2 linked regions of the Saccharomyces cerevisiae S288C genome follow. The protein of the gene in region 1 binds, or shares a complex with, the protein of each later gene. Each region holds a gene or a part of one and is shown on either strand. Other genes may lie near its edges. A codon is read from its position in the direction of its gene.

What was found.
Region 2: the proteins of RPT6 (region 1) and PRE9 are in contact, whole or in part, in a cryo-EM structure (PDB 6EF1), measured with the Saccharomyces cerevisiae proteins. Residues at the interface, in NP_011467.1 of Saccharomyces cerevisiae: Lys402 (codon at 519), Leu403 (codon at 516), Phe404 (codon at 513), Lys405 (codon at 510); in NP_011651.3 of Saccharomyces cerevisiae: His31 (codon at 1,187), Ala32 (codon at 1,184), Gly33 (codon at 1,181), Lys51 (codon at 1,127), Glu64 (codon at 1,088), Lys65 (codon at 1,085), Tyr67 (codon at 1,079), Val77 (codon at 1,049), Gly79 (codon at 1,043), Leu80 (codon at 1,040), Thr81 (codon at 1,037).

What each region holds. Positions count from the first base shown.
Region 1 is NC_001139.9:409,565-413,123, forward strand, and holds RPT6 (proteasome regulatory particle base subunit RPT6), read right to left. Parts: upstream 1,723-3,559; coding exon 505-1,722; downstream 1-504. Other genes in the region: TIF4632 (translation initiation factor eIF4G), read right to left, coding at 1-40; N-acetylglucosaminyldiphosphodolichol N-acetylglucosaminyltransferase catalytic subunit ALG13, read left to right, coding at 1,988-2,596. UniProt on the Saccharomyces cerevisiae protein: The 26S proteasome is involved in the ATP-dependent degradation of ubiquitinated proteins. The regulatory (or ATPase) complex confers ATP dependency and substrate specificity to the 26S complex.
Region 2 is NC_001139.9:759,487-762,668, reverse strand, and holds PRE9 (proteasome core particle subunit alpha 3), read right to left. Parts: upstream 1,278-3,182; coding exon 501-1,277; downstream 1-500. Other genes in the region: LSB1 (Lsb1p), read right to left, coding at 1-241; CCR4-NOT core subunit CAF130, read right to left, coding at 1,531-3,182. UniProt on the Saccharomyces cerevisiae protein: The proteasome degrades poly-ubiquitinated proteins in the cytoplasm and in the nucleus. It is essential for the regulated turnover of proteins and for the removal of misfolded proteins.

The sequences.
Region 1 (3,559 bases):
GCTGCGGGTGTGGGGGCGGTGGACCTCTTTGGTCAGTCATAGTGCCTACAATTGATCTATTGTTCTTTGTAATAAATTCTTTCTTTCAGGAACAGTAAAAACAGCCTAAAAATATGAAGTCGCCGTAGTAAACGTTATCTTCTAGTTACTATCAACACAGACGCCTTTTTAAATTCGAGGGTCAAGGCTGCTAGGCTGAGTGGTCGTTTGCTGTGTTTACCTCTAATCAAAAACTTATTATCTTTTTTTTTTCAGTCCTTTTTGCAAAGCAGGTACCTACTATTTTTCAAAATACACTAAAGGAACGGGCCCCCCGGCTTACTATTAATAAGGTCAGGACGGGGAAAAAGCAGCAATGCTCTGCCCCTCTGTTCTCGAAAAGACAAACGGTTGTTATATCCTGTATATCCAGCGGTATAATTTTGCCTCTTAGTTAATGCTAAACTATGATATTATACACATACACTAAGTAACATATACAATGAGCCAAGTGAAACGAATACATCACTTGAACAGCTTGGCGACAGAAATGGCCGTTTCTTGGTTCTTGTTCATAACCTTACCCACAGCGAGTTCGAAGTCTTCTTGAGTAACGTGTATTCTTCTTTCTCTTAAAGCATACATACCAGCTTCTGTACAGACACCTTTGACATCGGCACCAGAACAACCGTTCATCTTTTCAGCAACCTTTCTCAAGTTGATACCACGAGTTAGATTCATTTTTCTGGAATGGATTCTTAAAATTTCAGCTCTAGCTGCGACACTTGGAGGTGGAAATTCAATCTTCCTATCTATTCTACCGGGTCTCAAAAGTGCTGGATCTAGAATATCTAGTCTATTCGTGGCCATTATGATCTTGATATTTTTAGAAGTTTCAAACCCGTCCAATTGGTTTAGTAGTTCTAACATTGTTCTTTGAACTTCTGAATCACCACCACCAGAACCTTCTACACGAGTAGAGCCAATGGAATCGATTTCATCCATAAAGATAATTGAGGGAGCATGTTCTCTAGCCATCACAAACAGCTCACGGACCATACGGGAACCTTCGCCGATATACTTTTGTACCAGTTCCGCACCACTGACCCTGATGAATTTACAATCAGTGTGATGTGCGACAGCTCTTGCCAATAAGGTTTTCCCTGTACCAGGGGGGCCATATAAGATGACACCCTTTGGTTGCGCAATACCCAAACTTTCAAAAAGTTCAGGATGTTTTACGGGCAATTCAATAACTTCTTTAATCTCCTTTATTTGCTTTGTCAAACCACCAACCATATCGTATGTGGAATCAGGAACTTTTTCCACCATCATCAACGAAACTAGTGGGTCAGCCTTATTCTCAAGAACTTTATGCAACATATAAGAGTCACTCCTTAGACAAACTCTTTGAGATGCCTTTAAGTCCTTCACGTTTATATCTTTTGCAACATCCACGATGTATTTTCCCTCAGGTTGCACTTTAACGAGAACTTTTTTGTCAGACACGATCTTTATAACTTCACCCACATAAGATCCAGGTTCCTGTAATAGACGCAGTTCGTCCTTGATAAAACGTACTTTGTCATTCAATGCATTCCTTTGAGCTTCCAGTCTGCGAACATTTTCTGTTTTGGAGCGGATCTTTAATTCTGTTTCTTGGATCTTCTGTTCAAAATATGGTTTGATACCACTTTCGTGGGTTTCTAATACTATATTGGAGGATGTTACAGCAGCTGTCATTGTCGTGATAGTATCCCACTATACTGTTGTTCCGTTTACATAAAACCTAACCTAACTGTTACTGATATTACAACTTTTGCCACCTCGCTCGCATTTTGACAGTTTTAAAATACGAAAATTTCCGAACAAGAATAAGGGTAGAGAAGTATGCAAAATATGATTTCATATTAAAAAACCCAACCGAAGAAAAAGGGAAATAGAAAAACAAGTTTTCAGTCGCAAAAAGAGGTTAAACAAACGAGTCAGAAGCCAGCTCTTTCAAACAATGGGTATTATTGAAGAAAAGGCTCTTTTTGTTACGTGTGGGGCAACGGTGCCATTTCCAAAGCTCGTCTCATGTGTGCTAAGCGACGAATTCTGCCAAGAATTGATTCAATATGGATTCGTACGTCTAATCATTCAGTTTGGGAGAAACTACAGTTCTGAATTTGAGCATTTAGTGCAAGAACGCGGGGGCCAAAGAGAAAGCCAAAAAATTCCAATTGACCAGTTTGGCTGTGGCGACACCGCAAGACAGTATGTCCTGATGAACGGGAAATTAAAGGTGATCGGGTTTGACTTTTCGACCAAGATGCAAAGTATTATACGTGATTATTCAGATTTGGTCATATCACACGCTGGAACGGGCTCTATACTAGATTCTCTACGGTTGAATAAACCGTTGATAGTTTGCGTAAACGATTCTTTGATGGATAACCACCAGCAGCAGATAGCAGACAAGTTTGTAGAGTTGGGCTACGTATGGTCTTGTGCACCCACTGAAACAGGTTTGATAGCTGGTTTACGTGCATCTCAAACAGAGAAACTCAAACCATTCCCAGTTTCTCATAACCCGTCATTTGAGCGATTGCTAGTTGAAACTATATACAGCTAGTTAGTAAGATTTTAAAAGACGAAAAGAACGGAAAGTAGGACAACTACCAAAAAAAAAGATGGAAGGTTTCTTTGGTTAGTTAGCAGTATCCGCGTAATGCCTTAGACGTTTTTGATCAGAAAAAAATAAAACTTGATTTCGCCCAGGATCGAACTGGGGACGTTCTGCGTGTTAAGCAGATGCCATAACCGACTAGACCACGAAACCAGTTTTTTGATGTTTCGTTTAGGGACAAGAGTCCTATGAGAGTCCACTAAAATTCTAAAAATAATTGTATCAACAACCGTCATGCAGCTGTTGTATCAAGAATCGACCACCATCTATAGACTATTGTTCATAGCTGTATTACAATATCATATAAGATGTAAGGATAGAACGTGAAGATCGAGAAACAGTCAGCAGATTTAATGGAAGCTGAAATGCACGGATTGATAATGTAATAGAATAAGTGACAACATAAGAAATGAAAGAAAAAAAATAACATTAATATAATTTAGAAATGTTAGTTTCCTTCTATGAACTCTCGTATCCCTGGGGAGGACTTTCAATATATTCAGTATACCTACCGTTCAAATGATACTCTAAAATATCATCTATTAAGTGGTATTCAGGTTTTTCCCACGCAAGATTGAGTGCGTCAGGCAAAGCCACGATCGCAGATTACTCTCCTAACAATATTAAGATCGTCAAGAACATCCGGTTTTACTCAAGCGCTTAATACAACACGTCGGCTTTCGCTCAACTGCAGTATATTGTGTCTGTAACCTCTCCCGTCAAGTTTGCGCCACGGGCCCAATAACCAACTTCTGCGCCATTGTTACGGAAAAGTGGCCATCTTTGCTATGCTCGTAAGGCTAGCGCTCTCTAAGTACGCCAGCCCAAAAACTCCGTATCGCTCTTCATCGGAATTGCTATATCTACAGCCGACGGGCACTCTATGTATACTCATATCACAGCCACTGT
Region 2 (3,182 bases), 350 kb from region 1:
GTATTTTATCACCTGTTTTCAATGACAAATCTCCATCTTGTTGAGCTTCAAAATCATATAAAGCTTCAACGTACTCTTCTGTATCTGCATTTTGGGGCGATCTTTGGTTTCCATCCCATTTCTCAGGTAACTTGCTATTGATTAATTCGAAAATGTCGCCTGATATGACGTTTGATTCCTTCAAAAATTCTAATTCATTCCTTATATTTTTCAATGATCGATTCACTAGTGACGCAGACATCGCTTTTGTTTATTTTTGAAGTGCTGCCAAAATTAGATTGGAGTTAGAATCCAACAACAAGTAGGCCAAACGAGCAGGCCCTTTTTTATATTTGCCTCTCGAGCGATTCCGATCTTGAAATTTGCGCAAAAAAAAGTTTCTTCAGCCTTCCCCCGAAAGGGGAATCTTAGCGATTTTTTTCTTTCACTTTTAATTTTAGAGATATGTTTCTATGCGTACATATTTATATAAGCATGAAGTCAAACAATACTTTCCAACCTTATTTCATATCTTCATCAGCTTCTTCGTCTTCATCCTTCTTGGTAATACCAGTCTTTACCAATATATCCTTTATCTCTTGAGGCTTGAAAATCTTCTGATACACTTCTCCGTCATTAGCACCCTTTCTGATAGTAGCAAATTCCAACCTGTCATAAGTCAGCGCGCTACTGTCGGTAGTTTTGGATAACGTTTTTAAAGCCAGTTCAATGGCATCATCGACTTTCATATCATCCTTGTAGTCCATTTGAAGTAGGGTTTGTGCTGCTGATGTGTTAGCGCCAACACTAATAGCCTTCCACCCTGTATAGTTTCCCGATGGATTAGATGTATACAATTGGTAACCGTATCTATCGTCATAACCGGCGTAGATAAAGGACACACCAAATGGTCTTAAACCACCATGTTGCGTGTAACCTTGTTTTATATCACTTAGCCTTCTCACCAAAATTTCTACTGGTATATCTTCATTATAGGTTTTAAGGTAATTTTGAGCGTGAATTCTAGCCGTATTTATTAGAATTTCTGCATCTGCAGTCAGTCCAGCAACGGCAACCGCAATTTTATCGTTTAACTTATAAAGTTTTTCGGTAGAGGTGTCTTGTTCTAGTAAAGTACTTGTGACTTTGCGTTCTGCTGCAAGAACAATCCCATCAGATGCCATAATCCCAATTGCGGTACCTGCATGTGAAATGGATTCTAGCGCGTATTCAACCTGATATAGACGTCCCTCAGGGGAGAAAATTGTTGTCCTGGAATCGTATCTTCTGGAACCCATGTTTAACACTACTAACTATATCCAATAATCAATTATTAAAATAGAGACTGATCGAAAACTTTTTATAGAAAGCAGTCTGTTCTCTTCGCTCTGCCAATGTTTCCTTATTACATAGATATCCATCTTTTTATGCTTTTATTCTATAAATTTTTTGCCACCTGCAGGGTAACGAATATTTAACTGCCTCAAGATGTTATTACATGGCTAATTGTCATTAAATGAGGATGCAGAGAAAACATGAGCAATTCACTGCTCACTCACTGTCTCCAACATCGAGCTCTGCGAGTGTTATATATTCATGAAGTGGGATAGGCTTATCGGCTTTGGGCAATGGCAAAATCTTACCATCGTAGAACACCACCCTTCTTCCTGGAGGGTTCACCTGGGTGTCGAAGGAGTAATCAGCGATAAAACTACGCAACGTGTTAATAGGGGAACTATCGTCTTTGTTTGCAGGCTTTGAGGGAAACAGGTTTAACAATTTCAGATTCAGTTCAGAAGCTGGCTTAGCGTTTAGCTTCTTCTCTATGTCAGAGTTCTTCCTGCCCTCATGCTGCATAGTATCGGCACTATCCTCTTCTTCCATGGCGAGCCTTGTCTTGATCTTAAAGAATAAATCTTTGGCTTCAGGAAGGATGCCAATCCATGTCATCAGTAAAGTTTGAAGCTCAAAAGTGCATTCTGATTTGGTAAAAAAAAACTTGTCGTTCGCGATGAGTGTCTGCACCATGTAACAGATCAACCTAACCAAACCAAGGGAGTACAAGGAGATTTTCTCGCCGTCTTCATTCTCTTCTTCGTTATTTTTTGATGACAAAAAAATAGCAGCATTCATAAAAAACTCCTGCAGTAACATTTTAGTCTCAATATCAGATAATACGATAGGTCCTTGCCTTGAAAAGGGAAGTCCTGAAGCATCTTCATTCTTCTGCTTTTTCTTCAAGATCTCATATATCATATCATCCTTTTTATCTTGATCACTGGCTTCTCCGGAAAACGGTTTTCCACGTAACCCCATTATTAGTTCAAAAACGTAATATATCAACGAATGTTTTAACTCCAAATGCGTAAGGAACCATATCAATATTCTCCTATAACCGGTGCACATTAACATTTCATCCATTAATCTCCACGCAACGTCGTGATTCACGTTTAGCATCCTTTCAAATGCTGATTCTTCAGACCATATTTCATAAATATCATCCGGCGTGGTTCTTCTGAGATCTTCATTATCTATCTTGGACATTTTGGTATTTCCTTCACCTTCTACATCGCCGTTTATACTTGCGGAAAAATTAGACTCCAGGTCTGCTAAAATCATTTGGTCCTGCTCGTTCCTTACACACGATGCAACTGAACGCACTAACAATATGGATTCCTCCTTATTCAACTTTTCTGTTGCGCCACGTAGAGTCAAACTAAATATGACATCTAACTTAGGCTCATGGATGAATGAATAAGATGGCGAATAGTACATATTGAAATCTCTGGGAACGTCCCTCCAATCTTCCCCACTATAGTCAAATTCAAAAGTACTTCTTGATCTAACGGAAAGTGGGTTAGGTGACGTAACGACGTGATCAGAAGTGGCTGTAGTCGCGTTATGTACCGCATTCCTATTATTATGCATTGCGCCTTCAACGTTTTCGCTATTTGTTGACCCAAAGGCTTCATTTGCACCATCCTCTGCCACCAACTTATCATCATTGAAGATGCAATTGCACCGTCTCCGAAAGAAAACATTATTACTACCAGATGCTATTTTTTCTGTTGGGTTAACAACGCTTTCATCCAATCCTCCATGATCGCTTTCAGAGAAAGATTCATCATAATCTTCACATTCATAATCAAACATATATCTAATATCCTCATCAAATCTATCACCTGACTGTAAATCGGCAAATA